Linked DNA regions of Cricetulus griseus. The protein of the gene in region 3 purifies or fractionates together with the protein of the main gene of each other region. This does not show direct contact. Links are inferred from orthologs where the notes say so. Each region holds a gene or a part of one and is shown on either strand. Other genes may lie near its edges. The genes, in order: Mta1, Chd4, Bcl11a, Hdac2 and Mta2.

Region 1 (5,524 bases), on a different chromosome or scaffold from region 3:
CAGCCTCTACATCCAGGCCACCAGGTCTGATGGCAGAAGACTGGCTACTGGCCAGACACTGAACTGCCTGGCTGGCTGAGCGAGGACCCACCCCACAGAAGGCGGGGCCTGGCACTGACCACATCCTCCTAGGGAACAAGGACATAGCTGACCCTGGGGCCCAGGACCCCGGATAGGGATCAAAGCCAAAGACACTTGTGTCTGCAATGAACACACTTAGCTCATGGTTCTGGAATGTCCTTTCTAGAAGGACTGCAACCTCCATGCTGGAGGACGGACTCAAGTCCACTTAAACACCGCAAACAAATGACCCCAAGTGTCTGGCTCCACCTCAGAATGTGCCATTTCTAAATGGCCAGTGGCACTGCCTAAGAACCTCAGCAGTGCCCAGACCCACACAAGCAAGGAACGATCCCTGCAAGGCTGCCAGCCAAGTGAGCACCTTGGCCACCAAGGGCTCACAAAGGTCTGCAATGGTGTCCACCCTGCCTTTGTTGACTTGCTGTAGGTTGGGTTACACCTGGCCTAAACCTTAGTCATAAGTCAGGTGTGGTGGCGCACGCCTTTAATCCCGGCACTTGAGAAACAGAAGCAGGAGGATCTCTGTGAGTTTGAGGCCAGCCTGGTCTACAGAGTGAGTGCCAGGAGAGCCAGGGCTACATGGCAGAAACCCTGTCTCCAACAGGACACAGGGCTACTGGGTATGCCAGGGGTGTGAGGGACAGAGGGCCTGGGACTTGGGACCAAGGATGGGACAGGAGGCAGAACTGCCCTCTGTGGGTATCCTGAGCCCAGCACAGTGCAACCCAGGCCAGAAGCGGAGTGCTGGTGACCGCGCAAGGTTTCCCGACAGGTTGTTAGGATTTGAGTTAAAGTTACGCCCCACCCCACCCCCAGCTTACCAAGATACCGGAGTACAGCCTCCAGGGGCTTCCGCACTACCTGCTTCAGCACCAGTGGGCTCTGGGACGCTTCCGGCAGCCGTGCAGTGCCTAAAGGAGGACGAGGTAGGGTGAAGGGCTGTGATCCCCCAGAGTTGGGGCCACCACCTTGACCCCGGCCTGAACACACTGCATGGGTGTGGCTCCTACCGGATCCAAGAAAGGGACTGACTCACACTCAGCCTTGATTGCTGCACTGTTGATGGGCATGTAGGGGTGTCGCGCGGCATGCCATGGGCGTAGGATCTCACGGCACAAGCGCCGGGCAATGCGTGTCAGCTTGGTAGTGTGCAGGTAGAAGGCCTGCCTTGTCTTCATGGCAAACTTGGGGCTCCCACTGCTCCGGGCTGGGATGCCGTGGGGACTCTGTGGAGCGGAGCACACCACCCCAACACAGCACCGTGACTAGAGGCCAAGGGCCTGAGGCCTACCTGCGGCAGGCGACAAGCATGGCATGCCGCACTTACCATGTTATTGCGATTTGGTCCCGGCCTCTCTCCATCTAGCCGGGTTGGCATTTTCAAGCCACCGTATTTCTTCCAATATGTCCAGCAAGAAGCGCAGAGGCGACACTGCATGTTAGGGGGACCCCAAGAATACCACTGGTAAGACTGTGTGGCTACGGACAACAAAGTTGGAGATAGACGGATTCTTAAGCAGAACCAACGGTGCAGAGAGCATCCCACAGTGTCCCCACCGCCACCACACTCATCCCACCCACCCCCGCCACCCCCTTAGCCCCACCCCCACCCCCGGCAGCACCACTGCAGCGAGTCATTCCAGGTCTGGGCACAGGGGCCTTCAGAGGTCCCATGAGCACCACAGCCACGAAGTAGCATTCCCGTGGCCCCTGCTGCCCAGGGTGGGTGCCAGGCACAGCACTTACTGTAACAGCTCTCGCAGGCCCGGCCAGCCCCGGGGCTCTGGCCTGGTGTCCCTGTGCCATTCACTACACTGGCCTTGACACTGTTGGCGCTGATCTGGTTTGGATTTGGCTTGTTACTGATGGAGGAGAAGGATCAGTCACAGGTGCCCTGCAGTGTCTGTATCCCAGCAGACATCCCTGTCCCCTTGGTTCACTGTGTCTTCGCTGCCACACCCCATGCCCCAATATGCTGAGCACTAAACCCAGCTTGACTCCTAGGCCAAAGGAACTCGAGTCCTGACCCCTCCTCCCAAGCTAAGCAAGCTCATGAAAAGGGTGATGGAGGTTCTTTGACTTAGCTCAGGAGGCCGCCTGACCCCAGTGGATCCTAAGAGCCCCACAGTCACTGCCCATCCACCAATGGCCCCCAGGAACATAGGAATGGACTTACTAGTTGGGAATATAAACCTGCTTTAACTTGCTCTCCGCTTCAGCTGCTTTCAAACGTTTCTTAAAACAAAACAGAGGGTTATGAAGGTCACCAGGCTGGCCAGGGCAGCTAGAAGACCACAGGGAGGGGAACATCATTGTTTCTCCATCACTGGCTCCCCTGGGAAAGACTCGAGAAAATTTTGCATGGCTCTCTCTGGCCATCCTAGGGCCAGGAAGTGGAGGCTTCAGGTGGCTAGGGTTCAGGAATGTCCCTTCCTCCTGTCTGTGCATCCTCTAGAGACCATGGCTTCTTCCTCTTTGCTCCAGGGTTAGGGGGAGGTCTTTGGGAACAAATTAATGTGACTACACAGAGACTGTGGGGAGGGACGAGGTAGGTTGTGGGGAGGGCCCACCTGCTGGACGTATCTGTCGGTCGTCTTCCACATGTAGTAATATTCAATGATGCTGGTGAGCGATTTCCAGGGGAGCTGGGGTGAGACAAGGCATCATGGGTGGTAGGAACTGGACTACTGCCCAGATAGGGAGCAGGGTGGCAAGGGCAGTGCTGGGAGGTCAATTCTGGTCCCCCTCCTTCAGTGCTAACCACAGGAGTGTGTGGCTGACCTTCCCCTCAACACCCACGCTAGAGTCATTTCCATTATGTCTGAGTCTGGGACCTGAGCAAGACGACAAGAACTTGGTTCTGTCCTTACCAAGGACCAGAGACGAAGAGGACAAGATGGGCAGACCCCGTTGCCTGCCCTTCTGCCTCCCGCCAGGAGACAACGTAGCACAAGGTCTCTTGCCAAAGGCAGACTGGACCATGGACTGATGGGTGTCACGAGCTACCCATTCTCAGGTGCACAAGGGGGCCCACCCAGGAGGAGAGACCCCTTGCAGCAGTCGGGCTGCCCTTCACCTTAGCTGGAAAGACATATTTGCTGCTTCTCTGGGTTAGTTGTCCTCCACCTTCGTATTTAGCTCAGTGTTGAGGGGCTGGAGTGGCTTTTATCTTTCAGCACATAGCAGTGTATAGAGCCCCTTCACCTTGCCCTCCCTCCAGTGCTGCCTAAGCCTCAGGCCAAATGACTGAAGTTTAGTCTTCACACCTCAAGCTGCTGTTTAAAATGGCACTTTTTTTTTTTTTTTTTTTTTTTTTTTTTTTTTTTTGAGACAGGGTTTCTCTGTGTAGCTTTGAAGCCTGTCCTGGCACTCGCTCTGGAGACCAGGCTGGCCTCGAACTCACAGAGATCCGCCTGCCTCTACCTCCCAAGTGCTGGGATTAAAGGCATGCGCCACCAATGCCAGGCTAAAATGGCACTTTTAATTAAAAAGGGCTCAACAGGTTGTTTTTCTGGCAGTGTTAGGGATCAAACCCTGGGCCTTGCCTATACAAGGCCAGCATCCTACCTACCACTGAGCTATGCCTCAAGGCTAGGGCTTCAGTCTTTAAGGCTGGCATGATGGTTAGAAATGTCACCTGAAAACTTTGTTTCTTTAATATCTATCAGCTTGATCTACACGAACCATTTCCTGAGAGCAGACCCACGACAGCACCGGGTGACACAGAAGGTGGGCTTGTCTGTTCTGTGCAGAATCCTGTTTCTGTACTTGGTTCACTTGGCCCTCTAGCCAGCAGGCCTTGCCCTCTAGCAGGTGGCTCTGCAGCCCTTTCTTCTGGGTCTCTGACAGACTCAGTTTACCTGCTGAACTGCATCTAGGAACGTGCAGATTCTGCAGGGCTGTCCCCCACTGTAGCAGCCACGCCCAGCCCCCCTCAAACATTGCCAGCTCTGTTCCACTGTTGTTTTCTTTCTGTCCCGTTCTTCTCATTCTACTTTTTGTCTAAAAAGCTTGTACTTTTTTTTCAAATCCAGTTACATGCCAGGCTGTCCAGCAGAGACTGTGGGTTCTGTGGGCCATGGGAGTGACCAGCACCTGGGCCTCCCAGAGACAGACACTCCCTCAGCCCTTCTGCCTATGCCTGAGTAAGCACCCTGCACGCTCCTGGCTCTCCCACCCTGGCCTAGGCTTGCTACTGGGTTTGTTTGTGGGTTTGTAGCAGGTTCTCACTATTTCCCAGGCTGGTCTCAAACTCATAATCCTGCCTGAGTCTCCTGAATGCTGGGGTTATCGGCATTGTTTGACGGTACTCCAGTGGGTAACATATTCCACTCACTACATCCTGGATGCTAGTAACCCTATCTCCTCAAGGCTGTGGGGAAGGTGGCCCAGCTGCCTCAGCTCATACAGACATGATCCCACTCTTCAGTCCTTTGGGGAGCTGGGGGGCTCTGAGGGCTTAGGCTCTATCATAGTAAAGACTTGGCTGGCACTGCACACAGGAGGGAGGGTCAGCTTAGTTAAGAACAAAACAGAAACGAGTCCAAGCAGCCGGGAAGTCTTGAGGGTGCCTCAGGGAAACCTCCACGGTTGTTCTCCTAGCTCCACAGTGAGAGCCTAGGCCTGCTCAGCGCTCACTGGACTCAAAGGGCTGAGGCCTAGCCATAGGCACAGGCATCTTCCTGGGTGAGAGGTGGGGCCTGGCTAGCCACTACCCCAGCCTCACTTAAGCACTTACAAAATCTTGCTGAATGTCTGTGAAATCCTTCCCATATTTTTCCAGAGCTTCCTCAAAAAGGTTGGCTTCCGATGCAGACCACTCTTCCATTTCATCCCTGCAGAGCACCGGCCCACCCTGCGGCACGAGGGCTGAAATGGCCTTGGAGATGTCATAGATGTTCTTGTGCAGCGTGTCCATGGCATGGAACTGGAAGACAGCAGAGCTCCCCTGGGTCCAGGCTGTCCCCAGACCCTAAGGAGCATCTTCCTGAACCTGCGATGTGACCCCCTGCCCCCACTCCTTCAGGTCTCAAGGTGACAATCTAGTGGCTGCCAAGGCCCCTGGGTGGGAATTGGTAGGAATCCCTCCCTAACTCCCTTGGCGTGTGTTAGACAAATCTAAGGTGTAGCAGAAGTCGCTGAAGTCCTCAGTTACCTTGCTAGGACCCCAGAAGAGAGCAGGGAGGTGGCAGTGGCCCACTCACCAGGGTGATGTCTCGGGAGGCTGCCGCGGCACTCATGTGCAGGCTAGGCTGCCGCACGGAGCTGCTGCAATCCAGGGCCCGTGCAAAGGTGCCCACGGAGCTGGGGAGAGGGAGACTCACTGAGCACCAGAGCTGAGCTGCAGGGATGCCCTCCGCCAGGCAAGCCAGTGAGAGCCAGGACCCAGGTGGCACACTGCCACCAAAGGGCCTCTGGGCCTCGGCTTTAGAGGAGGCCAGGC
Region 2 (5,524 bases), on a different chromosome or scaffold from region 3:
AAGGTTTCAGATCCCCTGGAACTGGAGTTACAAATTACTGTTAGCCACGATGGGAATGCTGGGAATCAAATGCTGTTCCTTTGGAAGACCAGCAAGTTTCATCTTGCCAAATGCTGGCCATTTGAACTCATGTTCTCATCCTTGTGCAGCTTTTTGAGATAAAGTGATCTCTTTTTCAGTGTCCAGCTCTTAAGGGCAAAGTGCAGAAGATCCTGATTTGGAAGTGGGGCCAGCCGCCGTCTCCCACACCAGTGCCTCGGCCTCCAGATGCTGATCCTAATACCCCTTCTCCCAAACCCCTGGAGGGGCGGCCAGAGAGACAGTTCTTTGTAAAATGGCAAGGCATGTCTTACTGGCACTGCTCCTGGGTATCAGAACTGCAGGTGAGCCTGGGACAGGCTGTGTATGTGGGGTGATACTGCAGAGGTGTTGAGAAAACAGCCTTGTGAGTAGGGGCTGGATGGAGTTTCAGGGTGGTTTACTTTCTCTTCCCCCTCCCAGTTGGAGCTGCACTGTCAGGTGATGTTCCGAAACTACCAGCGGAAGAATGATATGGATGAGCCACCTTCTGGGGACTTTGGTGGAGATGAAGAGAAGAGCCGAAAGCGAAAGAACAAGGACCCTAAGTTTGCAGAGATGGAAGAGCGCTTCTATCGCTATGGAATAAAGCCGGAGTGGATGATGATCCACCGAATCCTCAACCACAGGTACCAGCTTGGCTCCCTGGAGGTGGTGTACTTAGGGGCTCTTTCTAAAGGAGTTAGGAATTAGCAGATGGCCATCGCCAGTGACTTAGGCTCTGTAATTAGGTTCTGTAATTCAGTGACCGAGTCCTGGAATTTGGCCCATAGGGAGAGCATAAGTTAGAGATTAGTGGTCCAGAGACAGATATCATTGAGGCTTTGAATACATGTGGAGTCTGGCACATTTAGAATGGTTTTGTCAGTTTTTAAGAGCAAGACTGACTGGGGAGGTGAGGAAAGTTGCTTTCTGGCTCTGAGGAGTTGTTCTTTATTGACCTTGTAGTGTGGACAAGAAGGGCCATGTTCACTACTTAATCAAGTGGCGAGACTTACCCTATGATCAGGCATCTTGGGAGAGTGAGGATGTGGAGATCCAGGACTATGACCTGTTCAAGCAGGGCTACTGGAATCACAGGTAGGTGATCAAACGGACAGGGGAAAGAGTAGAGCTGCCCCCTTGAAGGGACCCCTAGGCAGCTGTGGTCCATTTCCATTCCTAGGGAGTTAATGAGGGGAGAGGAAGGACGGCCAGGCAAGAAGCTCAAGAAGGTGAAGCTTCGGAAACTGGAGAGGCCTCCGGAGACCCCAACTGTTGATGTGAGTTGGGTGGAAGAGGAAGGGCATCGTTTGTTGGGTGGGCAGTATGTCTTGCCTGCTGCATTCTCATGGTGAGTGAGGCTGTGAGTCACAGCCTACAGATGGCTCTGGCTAAGATGTTCTGGAGACATCACATCCTCCCTTTTAAGTAAAAAAACCTGGGGTTTCATTCATTCTTCATCAGGAAAAGCAAACCCACAGAAGGGATATTATATGTGATGACAGGTATTATCTAGGGAGTGGTCTTCTATATACAAGGGCTTATTTATTTATTTATTTGAGAAAGGCAGGGTCTCATAGCTGAGGCTGGCCTTGAACTGATCTTCCTGTCGCCACCTCCCACATGCTTTGATTGCAGGTGTGTACCACCATCACACCTAGCTTCCTGGCAGATCTAGTGGAATCAGTGTATTCATATTTTTTAAATTTCATTTAAAAATTTTTCATATTTTTTAAATAATCTATTATTTTAATAGCATCGCTGTTTTGCCTGCCTGTATGTCTGTGTCAGATCAGAGTTACAGACCATTGTTAGCTGCCATGTGGGTGCTGGGAATTGTATCCAAGTCCTCTGGAAGAACAGTGAGTGTTCTCACCACTGAGCTATTTTTCCAGTCCCTGGTTTTCATATGAACTCAATCCTTCTGTTTTAGCCTCCGAAGTACTAGGACTACAGGCAGGTGCTACTATGCCTGGCTTCCTTAAGGGTTTGTTTGCGTGGTTTTTGTTTTTATTTTAGCTCTTAGAGGAAAAAAAAAAGTCTAGTGAGGAAGTGTGAAGGAGGAAGTAGCTACTGTCTTATGGGAAAAAGGGAAATCTTTACCAGCTCTTACCTTCTTTCTCATCCTTCAGCCGACAGTGAAGTATGAGCGACAACCTGAGTACCTGGATGCCACAGGTGGAACCTTGCACCCCTACCAAATGGAAGGCTTAAACTGGCTGCGCTTCTCCTGGGCTCAGGGTACTGACACCATCTTGGCTGATGAAATGGGCCTTGGGAAGACTGTGCAGACAGCAGTCTTTCTCTATTCCCTCTACAAGGAGGTAAGGATGGCAGATGTTAGTTTTTGATGTGGGTATTTATTTCGTGATTGTTTTCTTTTCTTGCACTTTGAGGAGAGGGAGGAAGGGAAGAAGAAAGCCTGACTTTGAACACTGCTGAGGGCTAGGAAGACATAGGTCGGCTGTGGAAATTTTTAAAATATTTTGTTTGTGAAGGTGTTTTACCTGTAAGTATGTCTGTCCACCACTTGTGGAGGCCAGAGGCCAGTTTCAGGTGTGAAACTGGAGTTACTGATGGAGCCATCATGTGGGTCCTGGGATCTGAACTAGATCCTTTGCAAGGGCAGCCAGGGCTCTTAACCAGTGAGCCATCTCTCTAGACCCTACCGTGGAAGTGCTAGGGTAAACCGAATTGTGATTGGATTAGTGGTAGGGAAAGTCTTGGTGGAGCTTGGCTTCAGGGTGGGTGTTGTGTTTTGGAAAAGAGAGGGTCAGACAGTTGTGAAATGGGGACAGTGAGTGGGGCAGTGGTGAAGGTGTCAGGCCCCAACTTCGCTGAGGGTTGGGGGGTGGTTGGGGGTAGGTGGAGTCTGGGCTTTAAGATGATGCAGCTTTTAGTCCTGATTCTGCCTGCTTTCTCCCTAGGGTCATTCCAAAGGCCCCTTCTTAGTGAGTGCTCCTCTTTCTACTATCATCAACTGGGAGCGAGAGTTTGAGATGTGGGCTCCTGATATGTACGTGGTAACCTATGTGGGTGACAAGGACAGCCGTGCTATCATCAGGGAGAATGAGTTCTCCTTTGAGGACAATGCCATTCGTGGTGGCAAGAAGGCTTCCCGAATGAAGGTATCTCAGTGCCGGGAGGAGGAGGTCACTGTTTGAAAGGGATTCACTGCTTTGGGCTTAGTTTGCTGCCTCACCTGGTCTCTAAGGCAAAAGGATAACTCTGGGAGTGGGGAAAGCCCACCTGTCTCTGGCTATGTTGATATTGGAGGAGTGGACCAGTAATGAATAACCAACTCATCTTTATGCAGAAAGAAGCATCTGTGAAATTTCATGTTCTGCTGACATCCTATGAATTGATCACCATTGATATGGCCATCTTAGGTTCTATTGATTGGGCCTGCCTCATTGTGGATGAAGCCCATCGTCTAAAGAACAATCAATCTAAGGTGAGTAGGATGGGAGGTAATAGTCTCTAGTTTTAGTCTCTTGGGAGCATCCTTTCTTTGAAATAAACCTAAATAGAGAAGAAAGGAAAAATGGTCTTTTTCATTCCATACCTGTGGTAGCACTTCTGTGGCCTGGCCTTTAAGAATGAAAGGGGGAGGCGGGAGTGGCTGGACAGATGGCTCAGTGGTTCTTCCATAGGACCTGGGTTCAATTCCTAGCACCCACATGGCAGCTTTCAACGGCCTATACCTCTACCTCCAGGGGATCCAACACTCTCACACAGACATGCAGGCAAAACAACAATGCACATAAAAATAAATAAATCATTAATTCAAAAAAAAAAGAATGATGCCAGCCATGGGATGAGAGAATTAATTTCACTGTATTCTGTAGAGATATATCAGTGTTCTGATTTCTTGAATTTCGTCTCTTCAGTTTTTCCGAGTTTTGAACGGTTACTCACTACAGCATAAGCTGTTGCTAACTGGGACTCCATTACAAAACAATCTGGAGGAATTGTTTCATCTGCTCAACTTTCTCACCCCTGAGAGATTCCAGTAAGTGTGTTTATTATGGTCAGTCCATGGTTATCCTTTTAGTTCTTCTGATGCCCATTTCCTATATTACTTTCCTTCCTTTGTTTCTCCCTCTCCAAAGACTATCTTTTTTTTCTTTTTCCTGAAGCAATTTGGAAGGCTTCTTGGAGGAATTTGCTGACATTGCTAAAGAGGACCAGATAAAAAAACTACATGATATGCTGGGGCCTCACATGTTGCGGCGGCTCAAAGCTGATGTATTCAAGAATATGCCATCCAAGACAGAACTGATTGTGCGCGTGGAGCTGAGCCCCATGCAGAAGTGAGTGTGAAGCCTAGAAGCACAACTCATTCTGTAGTACAGTTAGACACCCGCCATTTGGCCAAGGGTTTGTCCCACATAGCTTCTCGGCATCTGGTGACAGAAGCAGGTAGGGCCTGAAGAAACCTGATAGCTGGGAGCTGGAGTTTGTAGTTCTTAGTTATACCTTCCTGTGTCTAACATGACGGCGGTGTGGCTAGTGCTTGTTAGCTTAGCCCCACAGTGAGGAATGTTGGAAAGATGATCTCAGGCTGTTGGGGTTGCTTCATTAGTCATTTAAAGACTCGAATCCAGCCTGTCCTTGCATCTTGCTCACGTAGGAAATACTACAAGTATATTCTCACTCGGAATTTTGAAGCACTTAATGCTCGAGGTGGTGGCAACCAGGTTTCCCTGCTGAATGTGGTGATGGATCTTAAGAAGTGCTGCAACCACCCCTACCTCTTCCCAGTAGCAGCAATGGTAAGTTGTGCCACCTCTGTCTTCCCTGGTTGGTTGCTCACTCCTCCTTGTGGACTTTCTTTCAATATGTTTTCCTTTGCTCTGTCACCAGGAAGCTCCTAAGATGCCTAATGGCATGTATGATGGCAGTGCCCTAATCAGAGCATCTGGGAAATTGTTGCTGCTACAGAAGATGCTTAAGAACCTTAAGGAAGGAGGGCATCGTGTACTCATCTTTTCCCAGGTATGTGGGCCCAACTAGAACTTCGGAGACAGTAGGGGGACAGCCCTAGTGATTGAGAAGAGGGACTATCACCTGGCAGCTCTATAATTAAGCTGTTCCTTTTTATAGATGACCAAGATGTTGGACTTGCTAGAAGACTTTTTAGAACACGAAGGTTATAAATATGAACGTATTGATGGTGGGATCACTGGGAATATGCGTCAGGAGGCTATTGATCGCTTCAATGGTGAGAGGAATGGTTTATTTCGAGGCAATCATTTTCTGTCCTTTTTTGTAATAAAAAATAAATATTGGCTGGGTGCTGGTGCATGCCTTTAATCCCAGCACTTGGGTGGCAGGGCAGGTGGATCTCTGTGCATTCGAGACTAGTCTACAAGAGCTAGTTCCAGGACAGCAAGGGCTACACAGAGAAACCCTGTCTTGAAAAAAAAAAAATTTTTTTTTGTTTGTTTGGTTTTTTTTGTTT
Region 3 (6,020 bases):
GGAAAGGAGTGGACAAATAATCACAATAATTAGCCGCGAATTCTATCTACAAGGGGGGGGACAAAATGAAATGCTTCTGCTTTTAGCAAGATGGACTGGACGATCTCACTGTCTCAGCTACCGCAGATCGAGATATATGTATATATTTGTATTTATGTCTCTCTTCTCCTCTCCCGCCACCCCGCTGTAAACATTAAAAGAGGGGTCAAAATCCTTGTAAGAAATGTTGGGAGAAAGAAGGTAAGAAAACCAGGGCTGCTGGGGGAGGGGGAGGGGGAAATGGGAGCTATGTCTTCAAGTTTGCTTTCCAAGTGGATTTTCTTACACGATAAAGCAAACGGAGGCTGAAAAATCAGGAAGGCAAAGCAAAGAAACAAAAGCAAAGCCAAAGGCGACAGGCCGGGGGCCGGGGGCCGAGAGCCGGGGCCCTGCGGGAGTAGGCCGCTTAGAAAGTGAAGTTGGGCACCGGGGCTCCCCGGCACAAAGCGAGCAGCCTCCTTCCTGGCTGCAGGCTCAGGCCGTGCACAGCGAACACGTGCAGCAGCTACCCGCAGTCCCAGCTTGGAGGAGGCGGGTGGCCCGAGGACTCGGCTGCCGCCTCCACGCCCATTCCGCCCGGCTACCGCCGAGTGCCGGTTCCCTGAAGCAGCCAGTTGGTGAAAAGGGAAGTAAGGTTTGGAAAACTGAGCTGGATAACCTGATCAAGTCTTGGCTTCATCCCGCACACCCAGAGCGCGGGTCCTGAAATGCATTCTGTGTGCACAAGCTAATACTTTTACTTTGGAAGATCTGTGCAAATGTGTTTCACCCGCAATTCCGGGCACCGTGTGCGCGCCAGGCGGCGACCGCGGTTATTCATTATTAATGACGCTGCTAGCCCGCATCATTATGATGATAACTATTACTATTGTTGTGATTTCGGGCTTCCAGGCGAGAGCTGCAGGAGGCGGGGAGGGGGAGCGTCGGGTTGCCAAGCCGTCCGGTAAGCCTGCGGTGGCCGCGGAGACGTGCGCTGTGCGCGGGGATGGGGGTGGAAAAAAAGTGATCCTAGGGGCCAAGGGCAAACTTGCCATACCCCTGCTTTCGGCCAGCTCCAAGCTCGAGAGCATACTCCCCCTTCCTGGATACCAAAAATGCCTTCCCTGAAAGGACCCTAAAGTGCACCAGGCTCCGCGCAGGGAGCTGCGGGATCTCCTTGCACGTGGGGGTGTCGGCAGCGCGCCCCGGCGCTTCTACACGGCCCTAGCCAAAAGCATTTTTTTAAGTCAAAATGAAGAACAAAGACCTAAGGGGTAATGGGGGGTGGAGAAAGGGAATTCTGCCTAACCGTTCCTTGCCCCCCACCCCCACTCTCCCAACGCTCGTCCCTCCCCCGCCGAGAAACGCCGGGCAGCGAGTGGGGGAGGCTCTGGTACAGGTTCAAGTTCGCTGAGCTTTTCTTGATCTTGTTCTGCCTCCTAGCGACCAAATGGCTCATTCAGTCCACGTAGCTGAGGACGGGGGTGGGGGTGGGAGGTGGGGGGGGATTGTCCTAAGGACCCGGAGGTTCCTGCCCTCTGAGCACCCAGAAAATGAAATAAGTGATCCCTGCACATACCCCTCCAACTGTCCTCCTAGTCCAGTGTCCCTCCCCCGGACAGCAGAGACTAATCCTCCCAGACTGGAGAGTCCCAGAAGGGACCCAAGTGGGAGGAGAGTAGTGAGCAGCTCGGACTGCGCCTCCCAGACTGTCCCTTGCGCCCCCATGGCATCCTTCCGACTGTCCCAAAGTCCCGGCTTTCCCGAGTCTTGCGAACACTGCCCTTCCTTCCCGCCGGTACCTGGCCGGGCTGTAACTTCACACCGTCGCGCGCCGCGTCTGCTCTGTATCCGGCGCGGCCGGTGGGAGTGGGGGCGGGGGAGAGCGGCGAGGGAGAGATGCGCGGGGGTGGGGAGAGGGAGGGCCCCGCAACGTGCCAGGGCGGGGGAGCTTCCGAAGTGTGTGACAAGTTCCTCGGCCCAGAGTTGGGGGGGGGATCAATTCCCATTGAGCACCCCTCCCTCAACAAATCCAGAAGAGAACATAGGGGGTCCCTTCAAGCTTTCGTCAAAAATTAAGAGTCACGAATAAGAGGATTTGATGGAGAGGGAGGGGGGCATGCCTTTCCTTACTGGACTCAAAGTTTCCTAAGTACCCACCATCAGCCTCTCCAAGCACACCTTCAGGTGGAGTTAATCACCACCGCCACTAGCACACTTACATAAACTCACAGGAGGAACCCCTGACCAAGACAGGCCCAGGGTATAGGGCAAGAACCCAAGGATGAGTCTCGCTGAGTCCAGGGACCCTGCACCCCCAAAACGCATACACAGCACACTTCTTACCTGCCCCGCCCCCCTCCTCAACCTAGCCAGGCAACTGCTTTGGTCCAGGAGGCTACTGGCCAGATTGGGAGGGGGGCAGGGAAAGCACGTGGTAACTAACCTCCCGGCCGCCCAAAGTTAAGAACCAGAGGAATCTAAGAGTACCCCGGGTGTAATGGAGAGCACTATTAGAACTCGCCTTTACAGTTGCTTTGCAAAATAAAAATGTTTTGCAAAACCGAGTTTCATCCTGCAGCTTTCGCTGTCTGGGAGGTCGAAGGGAAAGCTGGGCATTGTGTTAGGGGCGGACCGGAGCGCAGGCCGGGCTGGCGGAGTCGCGGCGTGGCCTGCCGCGGTGCCTGGCGGGTGGGCGGCGAGCGCCTGGTGGGCGATCCCGACTCCAGACTGGGGTGCGGCGAGGTCGGGCGAGGCCCGGCCGCTGTGGCCGCCTGCTCCGGGGCTGCCGCGGCGCGCTCGGTCCTCTGTCTGTTTGTTGGCAGGAGGCTCCCGCACACGCGGTGCTTGTAAACATTCAGACACGAGATTTTTCCCAATCAAAATCCACTTCCACTTTTTTTGAAAATCTTCCAAAAAATAGTAAGAGGAGGGAGTTCCTCACTCCCTCTCCATGCCGCCGGCGCTCTAAGTTTGCAACTTGATGGGGGCTTGGGGAAGGGGTGTCAAGGATTTTTTTTTCTTCTATTTTTTTCTTTTCTTTTTTTTTCTCTATTAAAGATCGTGGAATTTCTTCAGGGGTGGGGGATGTGGACGAATCCCAGGAAAGCGGTGAAAAATATGACTGGTGGAACATTTGGTTTCTTTTGGGGGGCAAGAAATTGTACATTCTTTTGCGTTACTTTTTTTTTTTTTTTTAACGCGTCTTCGCCTCGTCTCCTCCTGGGCTCAGCCAGGAGGGGCGGGCAACGGCAACCCGCCGGCGGCGGCTCGTGCGCCCTCCCTCCCTCTACCGCGTGCCCCGGGCCGCCTCCTCACTCGGCCCTTGCTCCTGCCCTTCCGCGGCGGTGGCGGCGCAGGAGGGCAAGCGCGAGGAGCCCGCACAAAAGGCGGCGGGACAAACACCCACCTCCGGCCGGAACAAAAGACGGCAGCGCCGGGCGCGACTCCGATCCTTCCCGGTCACCCGGCTCTCCCAGCCCCTGCAGCCCCTCTCTCCGGAACCGGCTGCCTGGGAAGCGCCGGGGGGCCCCTTCTACAGTCCCACTTTCGTACTATTGTGGGGGTGACTACTTTCCTCCCTCTGCACACTTGACCGTGCACATATTAGTGTCCTAAGGCCAGTCTCACCCCAGGAATTGTTTTTAGACTTGACGCCCTCCCTCCCCCCTCCATTTTCCTATAGTGAAGTAGAAACAACCCCCCTTTCCTTCCAGCTCCCACCCCCAGGTTTGCATGTGAGTTGTTCGCATCCTTAGCATTGTTCATTATTTTTGCAAAACTGAGGTAGAAATCATAGCATTCCTTTTTGAAAGAAGAAATACAGCGGCGGAGAGGAGGAAAGAGGAGGAGTCAATTTTTTTATAAAATTAAAAGGTGCGTGCCGTCTCAAAAGTGCACACACGGTTCTCGTTCGAGAGGGGATATGGGGCTTTTTCCCCTTTAATATCTTTTTACCCCAACTAACGAAGGTTTTTTTACCTGAAAAAAATTTTAATGCATGCACACACCCCTCTCTCAACCTCACTCTTGCTTAGCGTCCTGCGCGCCCTCGTGATTATTAATAATTATTATTACTATTATTGGGTTACTTACGCGAGAATTCCCGTTTGCTTAAGTGCTGGGGTTTGCCTTGCTTGCGGCGAGACATGGTGGGCTGCGGGGCGGGCGGCGGCGGCGGCGGCGTGCGGACGACGGCTCGGTTCACATCGGGAGAGCCGGGTTAGAAAGAAGGAGACTCCAGAGAAAATATCTTCATCAGTGCCTTTTGACATCCAAAATAAATTAGAAATAATACAAAGATGGCGCAGGGAAGATGAATTGTGGGAGAGCCGTCATGGCTTTTTTTTAAGCAAAAAAAAAAAAGAGAGAGAGAGAGAGAGAAGAGAGATAGAGGGAGAGAGAGAGAGAGATGAAAAAAATGGCAAAAGCCCCCCTGAGCTGCAAGTTCAAGTGCGGACGTGACGTCCCTGCGAACTTGAACGTCAGGAGTCTGGATGGACAGAGACACACAAAACATGGGCAGGGCGAGCAGGAGAGAAGGGGAGGAGGGAAGGGGAAGCTCACACCAATGGACACACATCAGGGGCTGGACATGAAAAAGAGACCAGGACAAGCCAATGGCCAGTGCGGGGCGGGGGAGGTGTGGGGCGGGGGGCTCCGCAGACGCCAGACGCGGCCCTGGGGGAGGGCGGGCGGAGGGGAGGGGCTCTGGGGCGGCTGGCTCACCAGTGGCCGCAGCGAGCGCCGCGGCGGTGGCGTGGCCGGGAGAGAAGAAAGGGACGGCGGGGTGGGAGGGAGGAGTGAGGGGGAGCAAGACTTGCGCCCTGCTCCACTCCCCCTCCACACACACACACTCACCGACCCTAAAATGAAAAATTATTTGGGTGGGGGAGGGAGCAAGAGTGCTCCAGGACGCTGCAGCCCAGAGCCAGGGAGGCGCGGGCGGAGGGAAGCCAGGTAGAGTGGGTCCCGGACACCCTCCTCCATGCGCACACCCACTTCCCCTCCCAGCCAGCGGACGCCGAGGGTTGGAGTGCAAGCCCCGAGCCCGCGGCAGCGCTCTGGAAACTTTGCCCAAGGAAAGCTAGGAAAGAAAAAATCACCCGAAGTTGAGAGCTGAGCCTCCAAGTTAGAGCTCGGCAGCGGGCGAGGGGAGACGGGAGGGAGCGCGCGGGAGAGCGAAATCCAGCCCAAGTTTGGAGGGTCGCGGGTCCGGAAGGCCAGCTCCGGGGCCTGAGGGAGCAGAAGCCGCCTGGAGAGAGGGGGTTGGGGCGAGGCCGACGGCGCAGGCCTAGGCTCAAGGGCCGAGAGCGCGCCCCCAAGGCCAAGGCAGGGACTCGGAATCTGAGCGACCCAACTAACGATCGGGTCTGAATGCCACCTACAAAAGCCGTGAGTCCCCAGCTACCAAGGGTCGCAGAAAGAGGGGCCGAGATACAAAGCCCGAGAAGCCAGATTCCGGGTGCGTTCCAGTCCCCAGAGGGGAGCACCCGGGGCCGGGGCTCGAGGCACCCAGGCGTCCACCTCGGAGCTGTCCCCGGCCAGAGGACAAAGCACGGGTAGCCCCCAGATTCCTAGTCTCTGGGAACCTGCTCCCGGCGCTGCGGGAGGTCCTTGAGCCTGCTTCCAAGGAGGGACACACCCCCTCCCACTCCAGGGCAAATGCAAAAGCACTGAGCAAAGGGAAGGAAAATGTTTCTTGAGGACAGAACACAATTGTTCCTTAGCTGTTACACGAGGAAAGAGAAAATAGGGAAAGGAATGAAACTGTCTAGCAGGAGCAGCCAGGAGGCTGCTGTGGTGAGGCCCTCGGGTCACGGCCGCGCTGCCCAGGCGCCAGCAGCCACCGCGCGCACACGGGAGCCCAAAGCCCCCTCGGTTCCCCTCTGCAGCCCTTCCCTGGAATTAGGAAAGACCTGTTGGAAATAAACCCCTGTCTCTTTAATGCACACACGCGCGCGCGCTGCCGCTGTCAAAAAGCGGGCTTCACTCTGGCGTGG
Region 4 (6,105 bases), on a different chromosome or scaffold from region 3:
CAGTTTAAGGTCAGAAAGGATCTTAGTGTCTACCTAATTAGCTATAATTTGCTATCTATCATTTTACAAAGCACTGTCTTTTAGTATATAAAGAATGACCAACATTCAAAAGTGTTTCTGGAAACTACAGAGATGTCAATAGCCACAGTCCACCAATTAAGAACAACTCTAATTTCTCTTCTGAGGTATAGGGATAGATAGCTCATATACCCATATCCCAAGGTTCACAGAAGATCAGCGGATTTGTGATTTAAAGGGTACAATTCCAAAGACTACAGAACACAGAGAAAACCACATTTATCTTCAGAGTATTCTTCATTAAGCACACAGAGAAAACACTCTAAGTTGCCTAGAGGCTCAGTGTGTGCCTATTGGCCCCATTAAACCTACAAAGAAGAGGACAGCCATGGTTACAGGATTTGCTTCTTCACTGCTTTTCTTTTCCTTCCCTCTACTTCCTCTACCAACCAAGTTAAAACCAGCTAGCTTAGAGTGGGATGGTGCTGGCATGAGCCTTTAATCCCAGTACTCAGGAGGCAGAGGCAGGCGGATCTGTGACTTTGAGGCCAGCCTGGTCTACAGAGTGAGTTCCAGGACAGTCAGTGCTACACTGAGAAACCCTGCCTCGAAAAACAGAACAAAAAACCCCAGCTAGCTTAAACTAGTATATTATTCAAGTCCCATTACTACTGGTATTGCCCTTTGCCAACCCAACCCTTTGTGCATCTAAAAGTCATATGCTTTTCTTATACAAAATTACTTTACTTGGCACCCTCTGTCCACAATTTAAAAGACAATTAAGTCACTGCTTTTTTTTTGAAAACAAGAATAGGGTTTGGCATTGAAGACAGAAGTGTAGAGAATAATTTGTGTAGTCTAGCATGTCATCCCATGTTAATCAGCATAACCATGACATCAATTTAAGAATCTCTGTGGTTTTGTTAGCTCCCCCAAATGCAAATATTCAGAAGTTAAGTAAGTGTATTCTAAATACACACCAAGTAAGAACAGACAAGAGACAGATAACCCAGCAGACTTCCACCATCAGTTATACAGTTGGTTGCTTACAACTAGGCATATGTAAAAAATCAAATGACTGAAAACCTCCTCCATTCCTCCCATCTCTGTGACCAGTGCCTATCCTGCCCCTCAACAATGGCTCACCTCCAAACATGAACTCAGGAACCAATAGCTGCTCAGGAAACAGCTACAGTCCTGTTTGACAACAGCAGCTGACAGCTGAAGGTCCTAAGCACCCGTTCCGACTGTTAAACCTTTCTAACAAAAATCGAGCCTTTACTTTAGAAAAGCTATAATTATAATTTTTCAAATTCATTTACAGGGTTACATCTTTTCCAGTGGATCAGAGAATGCAGGACAAGTGTTTGCCATGAATCCAACTTCACAATGTAATTCAAGTTTAAACTGACAGGTTCTCCCATCTCTTCCCTCCATGATGGTGTAACTTCACATAAATTTATTCAACACATACATAGTCCTCTGAAATTTAAGCTGGGCACGCCTTTAAGGACTCACCTTTAAGGACTCACCTTTAATCCCAGCACGTGGAGACAGAGGCATGTGGATGGATCTCTGTAAGTGAGACATCAGCCTACATAGTGAATTCTAGGGCAGTCAGGACCACATACAGAGAGGCTGTCTCAAAAAAAAAAAAAAAAAAAAAAAAGCCCCCAAACAAAACAAAATGTCATTTAGATAGTCTTCTCTATTTTCTCCTAGCTTTCTGCAAGGTTTTTGATTTTCCAGCCAAAGACATGGGTGTCTTTCATTATTATTATTATTATCATTATTATTAAAACAGGTATTAATGCTCAACAGGGGTGGCACACACCTTTAACCCAAACACTTGGGAGGCAGAAACAGGAGGATTTCTGGGAGTTCAAGTCCAGCCTGGTCTACAGATCGAGTTCCATGACAGCCAGGGATACACCTAGAGAAACCCTGTCTCTAACCGCCCCCTACCACCCCCCCAAAAAAAATCCAAGCATTAAAAATTTCCACCAAACCAAGAATAGGTAGGACTATTTTCAAGTTAAAGTCAGTTTCATTCAGCCTAGGATCTCTAGGCTCTTATCTACCTCTCCAAGATACTGTGACTTCAACACAAAAAATATAGAAAACAGCTCCCAACTTTGCATTGCTTTGTAGATTATCAGTCAGGTCTTTCAGGGCAATGAGGCTAGTTCTGTCAAATTATTCCTTCTCTCAACAGTCATCTACTAATGTCTTGGTGAAATCCGAAAGACAGGGCATTACTTAGTGTAACTGAGACCCGAGACCTGCTCAGCCTATAGAACTCAGACAATTATTGCCCATACTCCAAATCACCCCTTACCACCACCTTGTACCATTCACTAACTACATTGTGAGCTCCACCCTACCTGTTTGGAATATTTAGTTCACTTCTCAAAAGTTTCCTGCAGCAGGGTCCCCACCACCCTTCCTAAGCAAGGTGCCCATGTTTTCTCCTAACCCCCCCAGAGCAGGGTATAACTGCATATCGAACAAAGAGCAACAAAGACGTGGGTGGTAACAACCTCCCACAGAGGCATGCTAGGACCCATCTAGTAGGAACAACTCCAAGCTTACCTCCCTCCTCTTACTACTTCCCCACAGGCCTGCCTAGCTCCAACTCCAAACCCCTAATTGTCACCGAGGAAGTGCATGCAGCCCTTCAGTCCGAACCCTGAGAAAGAGGCGCTCAAAGAACCCGGCGAACAAAGGCGAGGGATGGAGTCCACGCAAAACACGAGCGAGACAGCGCCGCTCTGCGAACTTGGCCTCCCGCCAGGAGTAACTCCTCCGCAGCCCCACCCGAGCGGCGGGGTCCCGGTGAGGCTTGGAAGCGCAGCACAGACAGATCGCCAGCAAGAAGGGGGACCCGGCGAGCGGGGGAGGGGACGGGGACGTGGGGCGGAGCTCCAGGCCGCCGGCTTTGTGTAGTCAGGCCCGGGGTGCCGAGTGGGGTTCCTCGGGGACCGGTTCGAGGCAGTACACCCCAAACCTGCGCGTGCCCGTGCGGAGGACCCGAGAGGAGCCAGGGCGGCCGTCTCCGGGCCACGACCGCGAAGCCGGGTAGGCCGTGTCCCTGTCCCCGCAGACAGCCACCCTTAACACCCCGAGCGGCGCGTCCGCTCCGCCGCGCCCTCCCCGCAGCCCCGCCGTTGGCTCCACGGCCACCCACCGTCATAGTAGTAGCACACTTTCTTCTTGCCGCCTCCTTGACTGTACGCCATGGGCTCGGGACGCCGCCTCCCTCCCGGCTGCGGCTCCTCCTCCGGCTGCTCCCGCCCGCCGCGGCCCGGCGGCCAGACAAGGGGGACTGAGGGGACAGCGGGCGCGGCGGCCCGCGGAACAAGGACGGCCCGGAGCGAGATGGGAGCCGGAGCCGGGAAGGCAGTGATCACCGAGCGGGGGTGGCAGCGGCGCCGACGCGCGACACTCGGCGGGGGAGGCCCAGGGTGGCGGGGCTGGGAGGCGGGCGCGACCACTATGGAGTGACAGGGGAAACCGCGTCTGCAGACGGACGCAGGGGTCGGTTAGGCGTGGACGCCGCCGGATGGGGCGGGAGGGGTGTAGTGACAGTTAGGTCGTACGCAGTCCCGAGGTGCGAGGGAGCGGATCTCGGCTCCGCGCTCGCAGCCCGGACCCCCGCAGCCGTCGGGTTCCCCCTCCGATCTGCAGGTACTGGTTGCGCCCGGACTGAGCCTGCGCACTCGGCGCCTGCTCAAACGTATCCCGGGCTGTCTGGACCCCTCCGCGGGGCCCACGCCGCTCCCCTCCCCCACCACCGCGACGCTCCGGCCCCAGCCCGCCACGTGCCGCGGGGACCCCGAGAGGAACCCGCTTGAGCACTCCCCAGGGCTTCAGAAGGTGGTGCTCTCCCGCTGTGTGGTGGTCGGAGATTCTCACGCCTTCCGAGATTCGCGTGTTCTCCTCCCCTCCTCAGCCCCTGATAACTCTTCGTTACTGACTTAGAGACTTTAATGGCAGGTTGTACCTCCTGGATTGAATAAGTATTCGTGGGACTTGAGTATAAGCACGGTTCTGAGCACCGATATGTGTTTATAAAGCTGTCAAAAGTGCTGGCATTCACGTGCATGTCCATTTCTTTATAGGCTCCAGTAGATGGGGGGAGTGTGATGCTGTCAACGGCTAAGGAATGGTCTGAGGACCGGAGGGGTGTCGAACTTTATCAGACTCCACATGCTTTGCCTACTGCATCAGACTGGATGTGGTATTGGCTGGGCACTGGGAGAAGAGCAGAAATCCAAAGAAAGGATTTGAAAAATTGAGTCCCTGTGTTTAATAGAGTGACATTTATTGAGCACCTGTGTAAGCCATCCTGCAAGGCCCAGGGAAAGGATGGGAGCTGACAGTCTAATGCAACACTCGCATCTCCTAACTATTACCATTTATAATTCCTTCTACATGCACACAAGCACACTGCCTCCTCCCTAAAGAGGTGATATTAAAGTAAGATCCAGCAATTCCACTCTTAGGCATATACCCAAAAGAAGTACATTCATACAGCAGGGACATATGTTCAACCATGTTCATAGCAGCACTATTTGTAATAGCCAGAAACTGGAAGCAGCCTAGATGCCCCTCAACCGAAGAATGGATAGAGAAAATGTGGTACATTTACACAATGGAGTACTACTCAGCGGAAAAAAAAAAAAAAAAAAAAAACAATGGAATCTTGAAATTTGCAGGAAAATGGATGGATCTAGAAGAAACCATTCTGAGCCAGGTAACCCAATCGCAAAAAGACAAACATGGTATGTACTCGCTCATATGGGATTTTAGATTTAAGAGTAAGGATTACCAGCCTACAATCCACACTGCCAAAGAAGCTAATAAACAAGGAGGTCCCTAAGAGAGACATACATGGTCCCCTGGAGAAGGGGAGAGGTTCAAGATCTGCTGAGCAAATTGGGAGCACAGGAAGAAGGGGGAGGGAGCTAGGAGAATGAGAAGGGGAGAAGAAGAGGGATGCCGAGGACATGAGGGAGCAGAAAGTATGAGTCAGGGGAAGAATACATGATAACAAGAATGGAGATATCATAATTGAGGGAGACATTTTTGGTTTACAGAGAAATCAGGCACTAGGGAAATTTCTGGAGATCTAGATGACACCAGCTACCTATCTCAGCAACGAAGGAGAGGCTACCTTAAATGCCCTCCCCTGATTATGTGATTGATGACTGACTTATATGCCATCCTGTAGCCTTCATCCAACAGCTGGTGGAAGTAGAAGCAGACACCAATAACTAATCACTGAACTGAACTGGGACCCAGATGCAGAGAAGGACCAGTGAAGAGCACAGAGGTTCAGACCAGGCTGGTGAAACCCACAGAAACAGCTGACCTGAACATCCGGGAACTCTTGCTCCCTGGTCTGATAGCTGGAATACCATGTGCCTTTTAAGTTCTACACTTAACGTATTACAGTTGCCCATAACTTGTCTACTTGTCTCAGTAGGATACAGTTTCACAAGCGGACAAGCCAAGCTTGTCTTGTACATAATTATTTCTCTAGTGCCTGTGACTTCCAGCAAGTCACCTGAAATTTCTGTATAAATGGTTTTACCCGTAAAATGAGAGACTTGCTTATATGACTATGAGGAAGCCTCTTAAGAAAATCCACATGGAATTGTTTTTGAAGCACACGAATAGAAGCTATTAGGAGTTGTAATAACCATTTTGATAAGAGTAATCATAGCTACTATTATTCTTTACCTCAATAGAACCCAACCTTAAACCTCAGGGAAGAGCTGGACAAATCTTTCAATTTGTTGCAGGACTTGTGATATTATTTAATAATTATAAATGGGTAGAACAAAGGATTTTATTCTCAGAAACTGGCTTTAAATGAGACTGACCGAGTAATAAGCATTTTCTGTCACATTTATGTCTCTAAGCATCTTTAACTTGATTTAGAGAAGAAATAGTTACTAAAATTTATAGACATGTCACTTAACCATATTTAAACTCCTTCCTATCAGACCTTTCAAAATACCAAGTTTTAGATAATATATAAAAGATCAAATCAAACTAAGAGCAGAGATAATAGAATACGTA
Region 5 (6,113 bases), on a different chromosome or scaffold from region 3:
CAAGACATACCTTCTACCATCCCCAACACAACACCCGCTTCTCTCCATTTCTAAACAAGGGCACATACAAAGGCCACAGGGACCCAGACCCTCCTATACCTTATGTGGGTGGCAGGTAATGATTCAAACTGCCGAGAAAGAAAGAGCTCTCGGTGTTTCAGTTGATGTCTCTGCTGCTCTGAGACCCCCGGCTGCTTTGATTCCTCCTCAAACTCCCCTAGAGGAAGGAACAAGTCAGAAACAAGGTACTCCGAGGTGGCTAACTAGCTCAGCTAAAGAACACCCTACCTCAGCTGCTGTCTCAGTTCCCTCGGGCATCTCACCCTCACTCGCCCAGCTTTCCCTTTTGGCCTCACGCCTCACTGTGGATGCTCAGTCCTCTCTTTAATTCCATGAAGGGGAGACCTGCATAAGGATGCCATAGAAATGCGCCCCAAACCTAGTTGCCAATGCTGATGCCGCTCTAACACACAAATATAGCCACAATACTGTATGTTACATTTAGCTCTTTCTTGCTGAACCAGCCTGACGTCCTAGAATCCAGCTAAGATGTAAGAACAGCACACAGGATTTATTTATCAGCTCCTCTTCATGCTTCAGGACTCTTTGCTGTACCTGAATATCACATGCAACTGACTTCTCCTTCTCTTTCTACTTGGTTAATAATAGTCTGTGGGGCTTTCAAGAAAAGCACCTCTCAAACCAGAGCCAACACCTTCCTCAAGAGGCAGCAGCTTGCACTGAAATCTTGGTGGAAACAGTTAACCTGGCTAAGTGCCAAACAAAGTGGGCGGGATAGAAACTTAAGCACTTGTTCATTGGTGCATTGTTCCCCTGAAGAACTGGGTGTACCACAGCAAGTGGGGAGGTGGGGGAGGTCCTGTGTCTGTGTAGTAGGCTCCACCTCTCCCTGGTGTGCTCTAGAAAACCCAGGGGAGGGCAAGGAGGACCACACCCCCTACCCATTCTGATTGGACAAAGCCAAGGTCAGCCCCTGCCAGATGGGGCTAGAAACCCCAAAGGGCCAGGAAACTTGGTAGGCCCAGCTCATTAACTCTTTCATGGCTGTGGCCTGAAAAAAGAAAACTTTAGGGAAAAAAAGAGGCAAAGTAGTTAAATGGGAAAAATGAGAAGATGAAGTAAGGCAGATGATAACTGGAATAGAGAGGGAAACAGGAAAGCTCAAGCGCTTTCCTGCCCTCTAGCTTCCGTCAGCTTCGTCAATGTTTTGGCTTCACCTCCAGACGACAGGATAAGCCTCCCCCATTACTATGCAGGATTCTCAAAACAGTATCTTCCTCTCCACCTTGACCATCGCTCACTAACCACTGTCCCAAAGTACCCAAAATGTCCCCACGTGCCTTCTCTAAAGCTCTTTTCATTCCCTATCTAAGTATCTCTCCTTACACACACACACACACACACACACACACACACACACACACACACACACACACACACACACACACCACATTCTGGCTTTTCTGATCATGGTCTCCCCACCCGGCTTCCAGCCCCAGCCCCAACATGTAACAACAGGCCTTGCTCTGCAGACCAGGCACTTCCCACCTCCAAACTCATACCCTGCCTTGGGCGTGTTACCAGGGGAAACACCTGCAGGAACAAGTCTAGTCCTCAGATCCTGGGGAGGGGGGAAAGGGGAAGGAATGAAGACACTCACTAGCATTACTGTCAGCCAGGCTGTTGAGGCTACTAGAAATATCCCTTCTCCTGAAGAGACAGACAACCTTTGCTTCCACATTGCCATTGGCAGTCTAAAGAAGGAAGAAAAACAGGGCAATGAAAATTAGCCATTTGAAAGTGGAGGTACACTAACAGGCACTCTCTAAGGACTTAAGTAGAAGAGGCCAAAAACTCAGCAATGAAGACTTAATATTCAAAGATAATTACAGGACCAATGAGATGGGTCTCCATAAGTTTGCTAACCTGATCACACAGAAAGTTCCAGGCAACCAAGGCTGCAAAATAGACACTGTATATTTAAAAAAACAAAAAAAAAACAACAGAGACAGGATTCTTTTATCCCCAGATGTGAGAATGATAAAGCTTCAGCTAAGCTCTCAGCAGCTCTATACATGGAATGAACGCTCGCTCACCTGTATAGGCTCTAAGCCTAGGTAAGGCTGGCTCTCCCTTCCACTTGGAGTTAGACTCCAGAAGAAAGAAACTGCTCCATTTCTGCTCCACTCACCTTGTTTAGCTCCTCAATCCGTCTAACCAGGTAAGGATTGCTAGAGGAGTTCTCAAAATAGACGTAATCTGTAGAAGGGGGTGGGGAGAAACAAGATCAGAAGAAAACCAGAGCACCCAGAAGAGAAAGTGGATTTGGGTGGACCAAAAAAAGACAAAATGCTAGGTAGAGATGTGGAGATGTGCAAGAGGAAAGACTTAAGAAAAGAAGTATAGCTGGGTGTTGGTGATGCACGCCTTTAATCCCAGCAGAAGCAGGTGGATCTCTGTGAGTTCGAGACCAGCCTGGTCTACAAAAGCGAGTTCCAGGATAGGCTCCAAAGCTACACAGAGAAAAACCTGTCTCGAAAAACCAAAAAAAAAAAAAAAAAAAAGAAAAGAAAATAGGTATTAGAGAAGGTGGTGGCGCATGCATTTAACCCCAGCACTCAGGAGGCAGAGGCAGGTGGTTCCCTGTTGAGTTTGAGACCAGCCTGGTCTACAGAGTTAGTTCCAGGACAGCCTCCAAAGCCGCAGAGAAACTCTGTCTCGAACCCCACCCCCCATCCCCCCACCCCCGCAAAAGAAAAGTATTAGTTGGGCAGTGGTGGCCAACAGCACTCAGGAAGCCGAGGTAAGCAGATCTCTTCCAGTTCGAGGACAGCCTGGTCTATAGAGCAATTTCCAGGACAGCCAAGGATAGACAGAGAAAGCCTGTCTCGAGAAAACAAAAGAAAATAAGTATCAACCGTCTCGAGGAAAAAAAAAAAAAAAAGAACGAGAAAAGAAATAAAAGAATTATCCAGACAGTGATTGCTCACACCTTTAATCCCAGCAGAGGGAGGCAGAGGCAGGTGGATCTGAGTCCGATGCCAACCTGGTCTATTTCCTGAGTTCTAAGACAGCCGGGGGGGGGGGGCGGGGGGGGAGGGAGAAAAGTTTTTACTCCCACCCTTGCAACACTTAGCGCTAAAATCAGATTCTCACTCAAAAGTCAGATCCTAGCACTCAAGAGGATCTCTGAGTTCGAAGCCAGCCTGGTCTACAGAGTGCGTTCCAGGACTGCCAGAGCTACAGAGAATCCCTGTCTCGAAAAACCAAAGAGACAGACAGACAGAGTCGAAAAACCAAGAAGTGAGAGAGGAGGGGGAAAAAGATAACAAGGATTTCCCTGTAGTCCACACAACTCTGCATTGGAGTTGCACCCCTGCGTGGGAGAATTGAGTAAATTGTTCCCCCCACCTCAGGCCTCACCTTCGTGAACGAACAAGCCGCCAAAGAAAAGAAAACCCCTGAGCGACTGGCTCCCCGCAGCTGGCCCCGCAGTCACTCAGTCCCCTTCCAAACCAAGCCTACTTCCCACCCCGGGATCCAGTCGCAGACTCAAGAGCACCGATCGTTGTAGGTAAGCCTCTGCGGGAGACTCGGCTCCCAGTAGCGTCGCCGCCGCGGAACCATAGGTCTCGGTTCCGGTTCCGGTCGGCGCTGTGGCCCCTACGACCCCAGATGTTGCTCCCCGCGCCTGCGGACACCGAGTCTCCCTGGTCCCGTCCCCAACCTCTTCCGCCCGGTGTACTCACCTCCCACACGGTACATGTTAGCCGCCATGGCCGTTCCCGCCGCGGCCTCCGGCCGCACAAAGAGGACCCGGAGGCTCGCGGGGGTAAAGCTTAGCTCCAGACGATGCCCCCAGCGTGGGGCTGACGCTTCGCGGAAGTGTCGATGGGGCCCGCGCAGCCGGCACCTCTGCTCGCTCAGCCGTCGCGGTTCATCACTGCTCGCACGAAGACCACGACGACACTGCTATAGCCTCACGCCCGGGATACCCAGGCCGGCGCCGGTCTGCTCGGCTTCTTCCGGAACGAGCTCGGTTCCTGCCTGACCGGAGACAGATTCCGGCTCCTAGCGTCTTCACCGAGTCCCAGCAGACGCCGTATGGTGCCAGCCCCTGAGAAGGTTTGCCCTGCCCGCGTCCGGGTTCGCCTCCTTCCGGAACACCTTCGGCCGATCCGGAGAACAAGGCCCAGCGCTCGGCTCAGGTCGGAGAGCAAGACCCCGCAGATCGGCCACTTCCGGAAGGAACTCGGCTCTTTTCGCTCAGCCGCGGCCCCGCGCTCGGTTATTTCCGTTGCAGCTCGACCCCGCCCCCGAGGGCGGCAGGGAGCCGCATTTAACTCTTTACTCTATGTGTCCCTGCAGCTCCGACAGTGGCCTCGCAAGGCGCGCGCGCACCCTCGCGCTTCTTGAGGTTATTTGCAAGCCGCTTTGCCTGTTATTTGCATATTTGGTCCGAGCTCCTTTTTTCCCTTCCCGCCCTGCACTTTTTTCTTTCATCCCAACCCTACCGGGCCCCTGAGGCAACCGCCGCACTCCACAAAAGCACCAAGCGGTGACTTTCTTTCTTTTTATTGCCCCTCACCAGGCAAAGGGAGTCAGAGCTGGGGTTGCCTGGTTCAGCCAGCGAGTCGTTATCGTGTGTGCAATGGGGCGGTTCGCCCCTCCAGGAAAATGCGCAACTGGGAATGTACTGAAATCAAAGAAAAAGCCAGCCCAGGAAAAGGGCTGCACTTGGTCCTAGGGGTTTTGGCCAGGGCGGGGCAAGGCCACAGTACCAGAGGGACAAAACCATCCAGCATTCATCACACGTCCAGGGAGGAGGCAGGGGACAGAGAGGGAGTTCTAGAAGGCGTGACAGGAGAGGGCCCAGAGCCCCCAGCGCCCAACACTCGCCACTGAAAGATACTGGCGTCCTTGCCACCTAGGGAGACGAGGTATGAGTCGTCATGCGTGAACCGGACGCTAGTCACGTGACTGCCGTGGCCTGAGTACATACGGCTTGGCGCCTGCACCAGAAAAAAATGTACAGTCACAGCAGTGATAGGGTCCCAAGACTACCCACTGGGGCCCAACGGTCCTCTAAAGACTCACCTTGGCTCGAGCGCACGGATACTGGAAAAGGTGTACTTTGCAGAAGTCGTCTGCTACAGCCACCACACGTTCATTGTGGGAGCGGCAAAGGGAGTTGATGTCTGTCCCATCAGAGCCATCAGGCCACACACCTAACACAACAGGTAGCCTCAGCCAGGGCACTTTCCACAACCTAGAGCTGCAGTGCTTAGGATTTCCAGGCTACCTCCAGACAATCCTCTCCATTCCCAAAGGGACCTGTTGGCCTGGATTTGCCTCTCCCCCCCCCCCCGCCATGACACATGACACACACCCAACATTCTGATCCAAGAATGGGTTCCACCTTCTTTTCCCAGCCCTGCTAAAGGGCTCGGCTGCATGCTGGCTTCACTACTTACCATACACGTGGAAGCCTAGCACACAGGTGTAGGTAGCCCACTCCCGGTCTCTGCTCTCATAGCGATTCCTTAGAAGCTTGCAGCCTCCAGCCACGTCCCCTAGGTAGAAATTGCCCCAACCAGCTCAGCTGGGAAGGTGACCTGATCCATTATGAACCTCACTATGTGATTTCTGAGTTCTCACTGTAGTTTGATTTCGTTTGACTTTAAGACAATCTAAGTCCAGCCAGGATGGTTGTTACACACCTTTAGTCCCAGCACTCTGGAGATAGAGGCTCTGTGAGTTCAAGGCCAGCCTGGTCTACAAACCTAGTTCTAGGATAGCCAAGGGCCAAGACAAAGAAACCCAGTCTCAAAAAAAAAAAAAAAAGAAAGAAAGAAAGATAGTCTAAGCACACCCAGCATGATGGTGTATGCCTTTAATCCCAGCACTGGAATTAAAGGCCAGAGGCAGACAGATTTCTGAGTTTGGGTCCCCCCTGGTCTACAAAGCAAGTTCTAGGAAAGCCAGGGCAAAATTGAGGAAACCCTTTCTTGAAGAGAAAGAGCCTAGCCTAGTCATGCCTGGAACTCCCCACCCTCCTGCCTCAACCTCTGGATAAAGTTCTAACAGTTTCC

The links.
Region 1: the proteins of Bcl11a (region 3) and Mta1 purify together in Homo sapiens (affinity purification with mass spectrometry; 4 studies listed by BioGRID and IntAct, counting the BioPlex papers as one, with this or other methods). This does not show direct contact. The link is inferred for Cricetulus griseus from reciprocal best matches to the Homo sapiens genes BCL11A and MTA1.
Region 2: the proteins of Bcl11a (region 3) and Chd4 purify together in Homo sapiens (affinity purification with mass spectrometry; 5 studies listed by BioGRID, with this or other methods). This does not show direct contact. The link is inferred for Cricetulus griseus from reciprocal best matches to the Homo sapiens genes BCL11A and CHD4.
Region 4: the proteins of Bcl11a (region 3) and Hdac2 purify together in Homo sapiens (affinity purification with mass spectrometry; 4 studies listed by BioGRID and IntAct, with this or other methods). This does not show direct contact. The link is inferred for Cricetulus griseus from reciprocal best matches to the Homo sapiens genes BCL11A and HDAC2.
Region 5: the proteins of Bcl11a (region 3) and Mta2 purify together in Homo sapiens (affinity purification with mass spectrometry; 4 studies listed by BioGRID and IntAct, with this or other methods). This does not show direct contact. The link is inferred for Cricetulus griseus from reciprocal best matches to the Homo sapiens genes BCL11A and MTA2.

Annotation. Positions count from the first base shown.
Region 1 is NC_048598.1:180,920,215-180,925,738, forward strand, and holds part of Mta1 (metastasis-associated protein MTA1), read right to left. Parts: intron 5,386-5,524; coding exon 5,286-5,385; intron 5,009-5,285; coding exon 4,820-5,008; intron 2,727-4,819; coding exon 2,652-2,726; intron 2,317-2,651; coding exon 2,258-2,316; intron 1,944-2,257; coding exon 1,828-1,943; intron 1,561-1,827; coding exon 1,409-1,560; intron 1,308-1,408; coding exon 1,118-1,307; intron 993-1,117; coding exon 903-992; intron 1-902. UniProt on the Homo sapiens protein: Transcriptional coregulator which can act as both a transcriptional corepressor and coactivator. Acts as a component of the histone deacetylase NuRD complex which participates in the remodeling of chromatin.
Region 2 is NC_048601.1:21,319,155-21,324,678, reverse strand, and holds part of Chd4 (chromodomain-helicase-DNA-binding protein 4), read left to right. Parts: intron 1-179; coding exon 180-383; intron 384-501; coding exon 502-707; intron 708-1,026; coding exon 1,027-1,158; intron 1,159-1,243; coding exon 1,244-1,340; intron 1,341-2,192; coding exon 2,193-2,384; intron 2,385-2,987; coding exon 2,988-3,188; intron 3,189-3,376; coding exon 3,377-3,514; intron 3,515-3,950; coding exon 3,951-4,072; intron 4,073-4,199; coding exon 4,200-4,373; intron 4,374-4,693; coding exon 4,694-4,835; intron 4,836-4,926; coding exon 4,927-5,058; intron 5,059-5,166; coding exon 5,167-5,284; intron 5,285-5,524. UniProt on the Homo sapiens protein: ATP-dependent chromatin-remodeling factor that binds and distorts nucleosomal DNA. Acts as a component of the histone deacetylase NuRD complex which participates in the remodeling of chromatin.
Region 3 is NW_023276807.1:82,691,425-82,697,444, forward strand, and holds the start of Bcl11a (B-cell lymphoma/leukemia 11A), read right to left. Parts: upstream 4,169-6,020; coding exon 4,114-4,168; intron 1-4,113. UniProt on the Homo sapiens protein: Transcription factor. Associated with the BAF SWI/SNF chromatin remodeling complex. Binds to the 5'-TGACCA-3' sequence motif in regulatory regions of target genes, including a distal promoter of the HBG1 hemoglobin subunit gamma-1 gene.
Region 4 is NC_048595.1:259,836,281-259,842,385, reverse strand, and holds the start of Hdac2 (histone deacetylase 2), read right to left. Parts: upstream 3,473-6,105; 5' UTR 3,258-3,472; coding exon 3,206-3,257; intron 1-3,205. UniProt on the Homo sapiens protein: Histone deacetylase that catalyzes the deacetylation of lysine residues on the N-terminal part of the core histones (H2A, H2B, H3 and H4).
Region 5 is NC_048596.1:51,150,597-51,156,709, forward strand, and holds the start of Mta2 (metastasis-associated protein MTA2), read right to left. Parts: upstream 4,252-6,113; 5' UTR 3,799-4,251; coding exon 3,771-3,798; intron 3,498-3,770; exon of another isoform or gene 3,445-3,497; intron 2,281-3,444; coding exon 2,213-2,280; intron 1,776-2,212; coding exon 1,682-1,775; intron 218-1,681; coding exon 100-217; intron 1-99. Other genes in the region: Eml3 (echinoderm microtubule-associated protein-like 3), read right to left, coding at 4,830-5,033, 5,119-5,249, 5,496-5,594. UniProt on the Homo sapiens protein: May function as a transcriptional coregulator. Acts as a component of the histone deacetylase NuRD complex which participates in the remodeling of chromatin.